Yarrowia lipolytica: one gene and its partners. The protein of the gene in region 1 interacts with the protein of each later gene in a pairwise test. Links are inferred from orthologs where the notes say so. Each region holds a gene or a part of one and is shown in the gene's direction. Other genes may lie near its edges.

The links.
Region 2: the proteins of YALI1_E11587g (region 1) and YALI1_E18242g interact in binary tests that used the Saccharomyces cerevisiae proteins (3 or more experiments, as listed by UniProt). The link is inferred for Yarrowia lipolytica from reciprocal best matches to the Saccharomyces cerevisiae genes PEX14 and FRQ1.
Region 3: the proteins of YALI1_E11587g (region 1) and YALI1_C25979g interact in binary tests that used the Saccharomyces cerevisiae proteins (3 or more experiments, as listed by UniProt). The link is inferred for Yarrowia lipolytica from reciprocal best matches to the Saccharomyces cerevisiae genes PEX14 and PEX6.
Region 4: the proteins of YALI1_E11587g (region 1) and YALI1_C05386g interact in a protein complementation assay, tested with the Saccharomyces cerevisiae proteins (2 studies listed by BioGRID). The link is inferred for Yarrowia lipolytica from reciprocal best matches to the Saccharomyces cerevisiae genes PEX14 and PEX11.

What each region holds. Positions count from the first base shown.
Region 1 is NC_090774.1:1,157,078-1,160,348, forward strand, and holds YALI1_E11587g (uncharacterized protein), read left to right. Parts: upstream 1-1,627; coding exon 1,628-2,770; downstream 2,771-3,271. UniProt on the Saccharomyces cerevisiae protein: Component of the PEX13-PEX14 docking complex, a translocon channel that specifically mediates the import of peroxisomal cargo proteins bound to PEX5 or PEX21 receptors.
Region 2 is NC_090774.1:1,822,351-1,825,397, forward strand, and holds YALI1_E18242g (uncharacterized protein), read left to right. Parts: upstream 1-1,917; coding exon 1,918-2,490; downstream 2,491-3,047. Other genes in the region: YALI1_E18212g (uncharacterized protein), read left to right, coding at 1-637; YALI1_E18258g (uncharacterized protein), read right to left, coding at 2,642-3,047.
Region 3 is NC_090772.1:2,594,307-2,599,582, reverse strand, and holds YALI1_C25979g (uncharacterized protein), read left to right. Parts: upstream 1-1,670; coding exon 1,671-4,745; downstream 4,746-5,276. Other genes in the region: YALI1_C25998g (uncharacterized protein), read left to right, coding at 1-46; YALI1_C25990g (uncharacterized protein), read left to right, coding at 342-442, 510-954. UniProt on the Saccharomyces cerevisiae protein: Component of the PEX1-PEX6 AAA ATPase complex, a protein dislocase complex that mediates the ATP-dependent extraction of the PEX5 receptor from peroxisomal membranes, an essential step for PEX5 recycling.
Region 4 is NC_090772.1:537,375-540,265, reverse strand, and holds YALI1_C05386g (uncharacterized protein), read left to right. Parts: upstream 1-1,663; coding exon 1,664-2,365; downstream 2,366-2,891. UniProt on the Saccharomyces cerevisiae protein: Involved in peroxisomal proliferation. Promotes peroxisome division and biogenesis.

The sequences.
Region 1 (3,271 bases):
TCTCTTTATCGTCCTATATTATCCTTTGAAACTTCTTATCCCTGAACCTCAACCCCTTACCTCCATTTCTTTCACCTCACCCCCTGTTGAACCTCATATTGGTTTCTGGCATTCTTACCAACAATGATGGCGGATTGAAGTGTCTACTTGTAGTTAAGCAAGTCTAAATAATAAACCGACAATTGTATCTGATCTGCCCGAACCTCCTTGTGCTCTAAGCGCGATACTCATTAGTACAGCCCTGCGATGAGTCCAAACTAGCCTTGTGGTTGCCCACAAAGCACCTTTTTTGTCTCTAGTTTGCATTACCGGACACGAAGAAACCCTACCATGGGCTAAATACTGCTCTCTGTGGGCCCACAAGTACTGTCTAGCACTTCCACGGAGATGATCACAAATATGCAGGTGCTAGCGTCGTTCAGGTCATTTTTCAGCACTAGTGCCAAAATAAACCCCAGCGTTCCATCTCCGCCATCCAGAAGCGCACTAATTCAAGGGGAAGGAATACCAACAACAGTTAGTCAAGTGTTTATTTTTGTCCGAACAACGCTGAAGAAGTTGTCAAGGTTGTCTTCATGTGCAGCGGCGAGAGGAAAGAGGGTCCAACCAACTCTCTCGGTGACCTGACGAATACGAGGAGTTGATCACTGCATTCTTTAGGCCCCAAGGAATATATCAATGCAGTATATGTGACTGTAGACTCCCGTATTCGATAATTACCACGTTGGTATTGGTGGGTGGGTGTCTCGCCTGATTCATCAGAGAACAGTTTAGAAAGTGAAGAAATGAAGTGCTGTTAATGCATGTATTAACAAACGGAGTTGACCCGTGGACTCGCGGCAAAAAACTGAACAAGGACGACATGTTTTCCCCATAATACTTTGTTATCTACCCCAGTTAGCTGAATCCTACAAGTAGTAGACCCTAGGGTGGGTACACTGAGACAGTGGAGGGCAATGTTTTAATTCAAAAGTCGGAGGTTTTTTGAGACCCTCTTTTGTTCAGTTCATGTGACCCGTATTTTGAAGTTCCTGCTTAGCTCCTATTCCTCAGATTCTTGTGGTACACTCGAACCCATACGAGCACTTTATGCCATACATTGGGGGAGCTGCGCTTATGTAAGCATAGGAGTTTTATTTTCATTTTTATTTTCATTTTTATTTCATTTTTTGATAGTGGACGTTATTTGGCAAGTAGCACGCTATACTGGTGGCTACGTCCAATATCGACTCCTCCAGGTCCGGTTTTATCACGTGAATGTCACGTGAATGTCACGTGATTACTCATACCGGTACTGTACTGTACAGTACTGCACTCGTAGTGCATCTGAGCTGGACCGTTGGTTTTCAAGTTACCCTACTTTTTCCCCCACATGTGTTTTTCCGTTGTGATTTTGAGCCTCGGTAAATGGGGAACTTTGATTCCGGCGCTGGGAAATGGGGAGGTGCACTTATCTCGACTTTTCGGGCTCGGATTTGGAAAAGGACAACTGATTTGAATTCAGCAGATTTTTCTTAACATTGCGGTAGTTTCAAAAATCAAAAATACCCACTTTCCAAGTAATTCCACGTCTCATCTATCATCTTGGACCCTAACCCCGAAAACGCACCCCACATCAGCTCCTCTTATGATTCCCTCTTGTCTCTCTACACAACACATGGCACCTCGAGAAGATCTAGTGCAAAGTGCGGTGGCGTTCCTGAACGATCCTCAGGCAGCCACTGCCCCGCTCGCCAAGCGGATCGAGTTTCTGGAGTCCAAGGATATGACTCCTGAGGAGATTGAGGAGGCTCTCAAGCGGGCTGGATCGGGCTCGGCCCAAAGTCATCCTGGAAGTGTGGTGAGTCACGGGGGCGCTGCTCCAACCGTGCCTGCCTCCTATGCATTCCAATCGGCTCCTCCTCTTCCTGAACGGGATTGGAAGGATGTATTCATCATGGCCACCGTCACTGTTGGTGTTGGATTTGGCCTGTACACGGTGGCAAAGCGATACCTGATGCCTCTCATCCTGCCCCCCACCCCTCCGTCTCTCGAGGCCGACAAGGAGGCTCTGGAAGCGGAGTTTGCCCGTGTGCAGGGCCTGCTCGACCAGGTGCAGCAGGACACAGAGGAGGTCAAGAACAGCCAGGTAGAGGTGGCCAAGCGGGTCACAGACGCGCTCAAGGGCGTGGAGGAGACCATCGACCAGCTCAAATCGCAGACCAAGAAGCGTGACGACGAGATGAAGCTTGTGACCGCCGAGGTGGAGCGAATCAGAGACAGACTGCCCAAGAACATTGACAAGCTCAAGGATTCGCAGGAACAGGGTCTGGCCGACATTCAGAGCGAGCTCAAGTCGCTCAAGCAGCTGCTCAGCACCCGAACCGCAGCCAGCTCTGGACCCAAGCTGCCTCCCATTCCTCCTCCCTCCTCCTACCTCACTCGAAAGGCGTCTCCTGCCGTTCCAGCTGCTGCTCCCGCACCTGTGACTCCCGGCTCTCCCGTGCACAATGTGTCTTCAAGCAGCACCGTTCCTGCTGACCGAGACGACTTTATCCCCACTCCCGCAGGAGCTGTGCCTATGATTCCCCAGCCTGCTTCCATGTCCTCTTCGAGCACCTCTACCGTGCCCAACTCGGCCATTTCCAGCGCCCCCTCCCCCATCCAGGAGCCCGAGCCTTTTGTGCCCGAGCCCGGCAACAGCGCCGTGAAGAAGCCCGCCCCCAAGGCTAGCATTCCCGCCTGGCAGTTGGCTGCCTTGGAGAAGGAAAAGGAAAAGGAAAAGGAGTAAATGTTAGGATACAGTGATGATAGTGCAGAGATGACGTGATGAAATGCCGAAATCGAACAGTGAACGGTAGCTCACCTTCGAGTGTTCGGTTGGACCATGGATCAGACGGTGTTCATGGTGTACTAGGATGTATAAGGTGGATCTTTATGTTAGTGCAGGCATATAGAGGAATTTATTTAATGCTACTGTAGTGGTAAGACGTGATCAATTTTTTTTTAGCTATTCTGCACTACTCTACTAGGGGACATAGATGCTCGGGACATTTCTCCATTCTGACGACCATTATTGGTACCTAGACTGATATCGTGGAGCATCAAATCCGTTTTGGGCTGATTTGAACAAGTCGGTGCCGATATTGCCACGCCTGTGAATAGTATATAGAACTAGGCAGCTCTTCCTGTTTAGCCTGAATCCGAAGTCTGAGCGGCAAGATCAAGTCGAGAGACCATGTCACGATTCTGGAAAGAAATTCGCGTTCGGACTTCTCAGAGAAGTGATGCA
Region 2 (3,047 bases), about 670 kb from region 1:
CATTTCTGGCGTGGCTACATTTCTAGCTCATGTCAACGCTCTCTCTCTCGATTTGATAATCCACTGGAACTCTTCGGTGACTCATCATAGGCAATTCTGGCCCATGTACTGCGGTGAGATGGCTGGCGCTCTGAGCAACTCGCAGCTTCGGCATTTACACCTTGAGTGCAAGGAGGATGACAGAGGCACACTTATGATCCCATACGTGTGCCTCAGTTACATCGTTGCCAACCTCTCACCTCACTTGGAAGGTCTTGGTATTTCATATCCCCTCCTCGACACTGACCACAGTTACAATCGATCCTACTCGAACTATGGAAATGGCGAAACGTTACAGGATCTCTTAAAGTACCTTAATGTCAAGTATCTTGATCTCCTAAACTGTGGACCCCCTCCGCGAGCATGTTCCCTAGTTGGTGGGGGAGCTGTTGCCATACCTGGATTCGAAGATGGCCACCACCCTGATGATTACAGCCGCGTCATCCGAGAGATACTACCCGCCATCCCATCCACTCGCTACGTGGGTATTGGATCGCATGTTTTTGACGTAAGAGATCCTTCCCGGTTACCTATTGTTAGAGACGGACTTCGAGAGTGGTTTATCGACAAACTCCTGGGGCTTGAGAATACCTCATAGTAATTCTCACGACCATCACGAATCATGATGACTTTTACGACTTTCACGACTTTCACGACTTTCACGACTTTCACGACTTTCACGACTTTCACGACTTTCACGACTTTCACGACCTTTACGACCTTTACGACCTTTACGACTTACGACTTTTCCGACCTTATGACGCTTATGACCTTTATGACCTTTACGACGCTCACGACCTTTACGACCTTTACGACCTTTACGACTTACGACTTTTCCGACCTTATGACCCTTACGACCTTTATGACATCTATAACCTTTATGACCTTTATGACCTTTATGACCTTTATGACCCTTCTGATGACTTTATGACTTTATGACCCGCTTTATCCATGATCCCCACGATCATCACGACCTTGCTATTACGACACTGTTTATAAAGTCCTATGACCCTTATGATATTAATGACTCTAATGACTCTAATGACTCTACGATTTTCGTGACCTCACAGCACACACAACATCCCTTCAATACATATTTAAAAAAATAATGATATCTATTAGCGTACAAATCTATGCCGATACCGGTATCATAGTTACTGACAACTGAAAAATTATATGTGTAAGTTGTCAACATTGAGGATGCCAAGGGTACTTGTATCTGCGCATGAGGTATGCCAAGAACCATGAGACAAATTCGAGTGTACTGTTCTTGTAGCTACTGGATATCGGTAGTACAAAAGATGCGCTTTCCGACACTGTAATGTCAATAGAAGTTTGTGAAATAATATACCAAAATACCAAACACCAAGCTCGGAACTTAGATGATCGTCAAAATATTCAACCGTCGTAGAATCTCGAAAAACAATAATGATCCGTCCGTTCAGATTAAAGTTGGAACTGCGCCTCCACACGGCACTTGAATTGGTCACCTCAACATCATTAGTGGTATGATAGAAAGATGGCGGTGATGCTGAAGCTGGCGGTTGCCTCTACCAAGTCGGGTTTTGTTTTCTGTGATCTAATATAATTGCGCAAAGATGCGGTATCCCTTCGTGGTTTCACCACTTATAAGCCTACAGTGTGCACACATCTGCAGTGTTAAACCATGCCAGTCCGGGGGGGTTCTAAGCAGATACAACTTTGATCACCAGAAGGGTGCGTGAGCAGCTGCGCAAGACACCCGACACTCACAACCCAGACTTTACAGCTGCTAACCACACGTTGACCGCCACAACCAGGATCCGTTGACGACACAAATTAAGGGCAAATTCGACAAAACTAGCATAATCGCATTGCTATAAAAGACACGGTTTCACCATGGGAAAAGCAGCATCGAAACTGTCTAAGGACGAGCTCACTGAGCTCAAGAAAGCAACCTACTTCGACCGAAAGGAACTGCAGCAATGGTACAAGGGCTTTCTCAAGGATTGCCCGTCTGGCCAGCTGAACAAGGAAGAGTTCCAAAAGATCTATCGACAATTCTTCCCATTCGGCGACCCTTCCATGTTCAGTGAATACGTCTTCAACGTTTTTGACAAAGACAAGAGCGGAACGGTGGATTACAAGGAATTCATCTGTGCGATCAGTGTAACCTCGCGTGGAACCCTTGAGGAGAAGCTAGAATGGGCCTTCCAGTTGTACGACATCAACGGCGATGGTAAGATCAGCTACGATGAAATGCTTGCCATTGTCACGGCCATCTACAAGATGGTTGGCTCAATGGTCAAACTACCTGAGGATGAAAGTACACCCGAGAAGCGAGTGGACAAGATTTTCCGTCAAATGGACAAGGATCGAAATGGTGAGCTGACTCTGGAAGAATTCCGAGAGGGATCCAAGGTTGATCCCACCATCGTCAGTGCTCTTAATTTATATGACGGACTTGTCTAACGAGGTCCTTGATTGTCGTCCACAACCTATGTATCCAATATACCTTCATATTTTGTTTCATTCAGCTTATTAAATGTTATAGGAAGCATGGTTCCTTTTAATACTGTTATCTCTTTGTAGGTCACACACGGATAGTTAGCTACAGTATGCTCTATTTACCCAAAACGCCAGGCAGAGGCTCGCTACCAACGCTCATCATGAGCTTGATACCGAGAGTAATGGTAATCAGAGCGACAACTGCAGTCCAGAAGAAAAGCTGGAACTGGACGCTCACGTCCTGCTTCTGGCACAACTTTCCTCCTCGGCCAGTCTTGCACTTGCATGTGTAGGCAGACTCGCCACGGCCCTTGGAGCAAGCACCATGGCCTGAGCAGTTATTTGTCTTCTCGTTGCACTCATCCTCAGAGCCAAATCTGGCAATACCAATAGCCTGCTTCTTCTTGGAGGCTGCTAGGCGGCCACGTTTCTCCTTGTTTGTAGCTCGGAGGCATGAGGGGGCGTACACGACGGTGACAGGATTCTTTTCGTCGGCGTTAGAAATCAGCTCTTCAATATGG
Region 3 (5,276 bases), on another chromosome or scaffold:
AATCAACGAGGCCAAGGATATGCTGGAAAAGGAGGTAAAAAAGTGAGCACGCGACAGAATCTTCATCGGTGGACAGCCAGCATCACCATAGACGTGTTGTCCACTTTTAATTGTATATATTTAACTATTTTATGACCTAGGAGTGCGGTCTATAGATGCGGTAAAGTGTCGACCAAAAGACACTGAGATAGGGCGTACGAGATGGGTTTTGGTATAAAAAGAGAAGGACTATGTCTCAGGAGTTGTCCTAGCTTTCAATTTTTTGTCCCCATTCTATTCAATTTCGTGTAAATCAAAACCACAAGGCCCCTCTAAATTGCCCTCTAACAGAACTACTGCACATGCATCTACTACAACTAAGTTGTTCATCATCAACTTTCATCTTTCAACACGATACACCACATAACATGTCCACGCGAGACACCTTTTACGGGTGGTATTTGTGAGTACAACACGGCGAACACACGGTCTACCGCAGACTATCTACGCTCCGCTCCCTGCTAACATAGTGCCATCCACTTTGTCATCACCCTGATGGTCGATGGAGGCTTTGCCATTCCTGCGGCGTACAAACTACCCGGGCAACAGTTCATGGAAGACTTCCACGTGGCATCCAACAAGGATTTCATTGTGCTCGAAAAACCAGCGTGGTTCATGTCCTTCATCTGGATCGAGATCCTCTTCCAGCTGCCCTTCTTTGTTTATGGAGCCTACAAGCTGCTAACCAAGACCGCCACTCCCACGACATACCTGTGGATGCTGGTGTACGGTGTCAATGCCAGCCTAACGACTCTGGCATGTCTCGCGGAGGTGTGGGCTCGAGCCGGTCTTACCGATGCCCTTCGATACAACCTGCTCGCTGTCTACGCCCCCTTTTTCTTCATTTCTGGCTACATTGTCATTGACGTATTCCAGCGGTTGCAGGGAGAGCTGAGAAAGGTCAAGACTGATTAAGCAACGAATTACTATAACCAAACCGCCAAACAAGTGATGCCACACGACTCACGCAGGAATGTACCGCATACTATGTACTGTGTACTGTTCTGGCAATACCCAATGGTTCAGCTTTCCAACATCCTCGACTAAGAAGGAACTACTGTATTGGAACTGTCACTGGTGCTGACGACTTGTGTGTTTATTGTCAATGAGATTGGACTCGGTTACTTACTCCTCCGGGCACTACAAGTACCGTACCTCAAGTCCTGTGTGTATATATTATCCGTATTATGATTTCAAAACCATTACATTGTAAAGTCTCTCTCAATTGACTGATTCATATAGAACTACCAGTAGAAGCATCTCCGAAGGTGTTGTTTTTTCTAGTACCGTATGTACAGTATTCATACTAGTTAGCTACAGTACATAACGCGCGCCCAGGCTAACATCATCACGGAACAACTTGTACTCATCATTCAGAGCCGAAATTTGAACAGAAACAAAAAGAATTGAATTTCCCATTATTCCAGTCACTACTGGGAATCTTCACCAACATAAAAAACACCCACCTTGACGTCTATCACGTGCTTCATTCATACCGTTATTCTGGCTCTTCCCCACACCCCACTTTTCACATTAACCTTGATGTCCGCCAAACTCTCTTTTCTGCACGCTCCCTTAACCTCGGCCGACAGATCATAGTCATTCTTCTCTACAACACCACCACATCGAGCATGCCGTCGATCAGCCACAAACCCATCACAGCCAAGCTGGTGGCTGCCCCGGATGCCACCAAGCTCGAGCTCTCGTCCTACCTGTACCAGCAGCTCTTTTCCGACAAGCCAGCCGAGCCATATGTTGCGTTCGAAGCTCCTGGAATCAAGTGGGCTCTGTATCCTGCTTCTGAGGACCGATCTCTGCCGCAGTACACTTGCAAGGCCGACATTCGCCACGTGGCAGGCAGTCTCAAAAAGTTCATGCCCGTGGTGCTCAAACGGGTCAACCCTGTCACGATTGAGCATGCCATCGTGACCGTGCCTGCCAGCCAGTACGAAACGCTTAACACACCCGAACAAGTGCTCAAGGCTCTCGAGCCGCAACTCGACAAGGACCGACCGGTAATCCGACAGGGCGACGTGCTGCTCAACGGATGCAGAGTGCGTCTGTGCGAGCCTGTAAACCAGGGCAAGGTGGTCAAGGGAACCACCAAGCTGACGGTCGCCAAAGAGCAGGAAACCATCCAACCGGCCGACGAAGCTGCCGACGTGGCCTTTGACATTGCAGAGTTTCTCGACTTTGACACATCTGTTGCCAAGACCCGTGAATCCACAAACCTCCAAGTGGCACCTCTTGAAGGAGCCATCCCTACTCCTCTCTCGGACCGGTTTGACGACTGCGAAAGCCGAGGCTTCGTCAAGTCTGAAACCATGTCGAAACTCGGAGTCTTTTCCGGCGACATTGTGTCCATCAAGACCAAAAACGGAGCCGAACGGGTGCTCCGACTGTTTGCATACCCCGAACCAAACACAGTCAAGTACGACGTGGTCTACGTCTCGCCCATTTTGTACCACAACATTGGCGACAAGGAGATTGAGGTGACTCCCAACGGTGAGACACATAAGTCTGTAGGAGAGGCGCTGGATTCCGTGCTTGAAGCTGCTGAGGAAGTCAAGCTGGCAAGAGTGCTTGGTCCTACTACCACAGACAGAACCTTCCAAACAGCCTACCACGCAGGTCTGCAGGCCTACTTTAAGCCCGTAAAGAGAGCCGTTCGAGTAGGTGATCTGATCCCCATTCCCTTTGACTCTATTCTCGCTCGAACTATTGGCGAAGATCCTGAAATGAGCCACATTCCTCTGGAAGCTCTGGCAGTCAAGCCCGACTCCGTGGCGTGGTTTCAGGTCACTTCTCTCAACGGAAGTGAAGACCCTGCCTCCAAACAGTACCTTGTGGACTCCTCTCAGACAAAGTTGATCGAGGGAGGAACTACTTCTTCTGCTGTAATCCCCACCAGTGTTCCATGGCGCGAATATCTCGGTCTGGATACCTTGCCCAAGTTTGGATCCGAGTTTGCATACGCCGACAAGATCCGCAACCTGGTTCAGATCTCGACCTCGGCTCTCTCGCACGCCAAACTCAACACCTCGGTACTTTTGCATTCCGCCAAGCGAGGCGTCGGAAAGTCAACTGTTCTTCGTTCCGTGGCTGCCCAGTGCGGAATTTCTGTGTTCGAAATCTCGTGTTTTGGACTTATTGGAGACAATGAGGCCCAGACACTGGGAACTCTGCGAGCCAAGCTAGACCGGGCCTATGGCTGCTCTCCTTGCGTGGTCGTTCTGCAGCATCTCGAGTCGATTGCAAAGAAGAGCGACCAGGACGGAAAGGATGAGGGAATAGTTTCAAAGCTTGTGGACGTTCTTGCGGACTACTCCGGACACGGAGTGCTGCTGGCAGCTACGTCTAACGATCCCGACAAGATTTCCGAGGCCATTCGATCTCGATTTCAGTTTGAAATTGAGATCGGAGTGCCCTCTGAGCCCCAAAGACGTCAGATCTTTTCTCATCTGACGAAATCCGGTCCTGGGGGCGATTCAATCAGAAATGCACCCATTTCTCTGCGTTCTGATGTCTCTGTTGAGAACCTTGCGCTCCAATCTGCCGGTCTGACCCCTCCTGATCTCACAGCCATTGTCCAGACTACCCGTCTGAGAGCCATTGATCGACTTAACAAGCTCACCAAGGACTCCGATACCACTCTAGACGATCTCCTGACCCTTTCGCATGGTACTCTCCAGCTGACTCCCTCCGACTTTGATGACGCTATTGCTGATGCTCGACAAAAGTACTCCGACTCCATTGGAGCTCCCCGAATCCCCAATGTCGGATGGGACGATGTTGGAGGCATGGAGGGTGTCAAGAAGGATATTCTGGACACTATCGAGACTCCTCTAAAGTACCCCCACTGGTTCTCTGACGGTGTAAAGAAGCGATCGGGTATTCTGTTTTACGGTCCTCCCGGTACTGGTAAGACTCTTCTCGCGAAAGCCATTGCCACGACTTTCTCGCTCAACTTCTTCTCCGTCAAGGGTCCCGAGCTGCTCAACATGTACATTGGTGAATCCGAGGCCAACGTGCGACGAGTATTCCAAAAGGCCCGAGATGCCAAGCCCTGTGTTGTCTTCTTTGACGAGTTGGATTCCGTGGCGCCTCAGAGAGGCAACCAGGGAGACTCTGGAGGAGTCATGGACCGAATTGTGTCGCAGCTGCTAGCTGAGCTCGATGGAATGTCTACTGCGGGAGGAGAGGGTGTTTTCGTTGTGGGAGCTACTAACCGTCCTGATCTGTTGGACGAGGCTCTTCTGCGACCTGGACGATTCGATAAGATGCTGTACTTGGGTATCTCTGATACCCACGAGAAGCAGCAGACTATTATGGAGGCTCTTACTCGAAAGTTCCGACTTGCTGCCGATGTGTCTCTTGAGGCCATCTCCAAACGATGTCCGTTTACTTTCACCGGCGCCGATTTCTACGCTCTGTGTTCAGATGCCATGCTAAATGCCATGACTCGAACTGCCAACGAGGTTGATGCCAAGATCAAGCTGCTCAACAAGAACAGGGAGGAGGCCGGAGAGGAGCCCGTCTCCATCAGATGGTGGTTTGACCACGAGGCTACCAAGAGTGACATTGAGGTTGAGGTTGCTCAGCAGGATTTTGAGAAGGCCAAGGACGAGCTGAGTCCATCTGTTTCGGCGGAGGAGCTGCAACACTATCTCAAGCTGAGACAGCAATTTGAGGGAGGCAAGAAATGAACAGACGAGGGATGATGGGTGGATTTGTATAAATATATTACGTGATAATTATGACATTGCTCAAATACTGGAGTAGGAAGACCACCAAAACTTGATTATTTACACCGATAAGAGAAATTATATTCTCACAGTACAATCTGCTTGGCTCACGCAACTACTCGTACTGGTTTTTATGTTTTTTTATGTTTTTTATATTAATTTTTTTTTAACTTTTTATAAATATTTGGATTATAGGAAAAATGTCTCGTTCCTTAGTGCATCTGAGATGCCCCAAAATTACAGTAATCGGACTGCAAAAGTGGGGGCGACTGCATGACGGAGATAGGAGTGATGATATTGAGCAGTGAACTGTACTCGTGCTTGTGCTGTCGTGTTGAAATTGGGGATGAAGAAAAAACCACCGGACAAAATCTTTCCAATCACGACCAAAATATAATCGACACCTTTCTACCGACTTTTCTATCAACGGTCTCCATCTACAAGTAGTGGATCATCGAGGGTGGCGAATCTTGAGAACTTGCATGGTTCGAT
Region 4 (2,891 bases), on another chromosome or scaffold:
TGTGGAATATCTAGCTGTGGAATATCTAGCTACTTGTACTCGTAAGTGCCGTATAGTAAGTGCATTTCCGTTGAATAAACAAGACTCTCTCTCTACTTGTACACTACAGTATATACCATGTTGGGTGCTACTATATCAAGCGTCACTATCAAAGCCACTGCATTCTCCACCTTCCACTCCATCCATGCTCTCAAACTCATGGCCAGTATAATCCCCCGGACTTGCCTATATACAAGTACTTGTGTTGCCGGAATGATCAGGTTTGGTCACGTGTAACATTGTACGATGCCTACTGACCGCCCTCAAGTATTGCATACATACTGTACCACCACTTGTACTCGTACTCCACCCTTGTTGGTCAGGTATGCTCTCTTCAGTGCCAACCCATTCTGATTGATCCCGAACCCCGCTCACTTGATGCTTTTCGATGTACAGCATGTACTGTACTTGTACTCGTACCGCTACATACAAAGACTGCATCTGGTCTAAGGGATACCGTTTAGCAGGTCTAGCAGTTATGGAGATTGGCAATCTCTGTGTCTCATCCATTGCTGTTCCAGTACTGAGCCGGCAGTCTAGTCAGTATTCGCAATCGCACAAGCTCTTGTACTTGTATGTACTGTACATAGTCATACTTTCAACTACTGGTATTGTACTGGCACTCGGATGTAGACCACCGTTGTCGAGATAGTTGCCCAGAGTCAATCTGGTCCAGTTCGGGGGCAAGCCATAATATCTACCCGGTGACACACGTGTCGAACCGTCTTTACGTGCGGACCACTGTTACAAGCCCGGCAACAGTCGTCAATGTACAGTGTCGAACCTGGTGGCAACACCTGTCACTCACCGCTTGGCACCCCACACAGTGTTCCAACTTGTAATCACGATTACATCATCTGCGGAAATCGAACTCACGCGCGGAGAAGAAATAATCCCAAAAAAAGACGGTCTGAAAAACCCACCATTTATCGGACTTGATCTGCACCCCATACTCTTCCCCATAATGTATAAACTCTCGGACTTGGGGTATTTTTGATTGGGGAGCTGCACGCACCCCACGCACTTGCCATGCTCTCTCACACACAAGGTATGAATGGTCCAATGGGCCTGGTCAAGGAGTAAGCTGAGTGCGTAGGCGTGGAGTGGAGTGGGTGCTGAAATTTAAGTGCTCAAAGAGTCGTGAAAATAACGTCGAATATCGCAGTACTAAAGGCGGGGTATTCAATCCTGCGACCCCTGCACTGGAAACCGTTGCCATAATAACAAATATAATATATATACAAGTACTCGAACATATATATGCCACGCAGACCGGCTCGGACATTGTCGTGTTTTGCTATATACACCGTTCTCCGGCTTTGCCCGATTTGCGTGCCTGCGGATTGGCTGAACGTGAAACAAGTTTGCTGCAACCGAATTAAACGGCTGAAGCCAGCAATCCAACCACCGAGTGGCAATCTACTGGTTCGCAGCTTTACAACCGTGCAAACAGCGCTCCGTCCCCCCCTTATATACACATGGTGGGACCTTCTCCACGTGAAAACTAGCCTCGGTACATTTAGTTCGGCAACCTTACCCCAGCTGAGCTTATTTGCGGTGGTGACGAAGACCGTTTTTAAAACCCTAGAGTCTCCCCTTCTTCACGCCAACACACACAAAAAAGATGTCCGTTTGCCTCGCCCAGAACCCCACCGTGACCCGAGTGGTCAAGCTGCTTGAGACCCACGTCGGTCGAGACAAGATCCTGCGGTCCATCCAGTACTTCTCGCGGTTCCTGACCTACTACCTGTTCCGAAAGGGCTACACCAAGGACACCATTGATATTTTCCGAAAGATCCAGAACCAGTTCTCCATGGCCCGAAAGCTGTTCCGAGTTGGAAAGCCCATTGGCCATCTCAAGACCGCCGCCGTGTCGTTCGAGAACAAGACCCTGGACCCTTGTCTGCGATACACAACCATTGGCCGAAACCTCGGCTACGCCATCTACCTGGTCTTTGACTCCATCATCTACATCAACGGCTCCGGCATCAAGAAGATTGACAACATCAAGACCATCAAGAAGGTCGGCTCCTACTTCTGGGCCTTTGGTATCTTCTGCAACATTCTCAACTCCATCCACAAGATCAACATCTGCAAGAAGAAGCGAGCTGCTCTGGCAGCAGAGAAGGAGAAGGACACCACCTCCGCCAAGAAGAACGACAAGGACGCTGCCGCTGCCCAGAAGCAGCTGGTCTGGGATCTCCTCGATTTCTCCATCCCCCTCACCTCTCTCGGCTACCTGCACCTCGATGACGGTCTCGTCGGCCTGGCTGGTTTCGCTACCGGTATTATGGGTGTCCAGAAGGCCTGGGCCGCTACTGCTTAGATAGATAACTCGCAAGAGACGTATGCTCAATAGGGAGAGCACAAAGAATAATGAGTTTTGACTGTGTTGTAGCAACCAAGTGTGTCTGTAGCGTTCCGTGTAGTTCTGCAGATGAACAATGTGTGCAGATAGCAGCATGCCAATCAGTAGACCTGAGAAGGTGTTACCAGTACGAGCACTGTACGACACAATTGATACATATCCATAAAACGCGTCTTCGGAGATAAATCAATGTCTCAGATGTACGATAAGAGCAGCGTATGATGTGAGTTGTATTGTGCATGGAGAAACTGAATAGCATAAGAGTGGGTAGAGAGAGGTGAAGTGGGAAACGATCTGTTTAAGAGGCATGGCATGGCTATATGTTCTCTGACGTCTCAGTATCACCATATGACCACATACTCCACATTCAATCCCATTGATATCCCTCTACGGAATCGAAGGATGTACGAGTAGATACTGAATCAACCATTGTCACAACCACAAGTGTACAAGTAATGACTAACCACCACTATCAATTGACTGG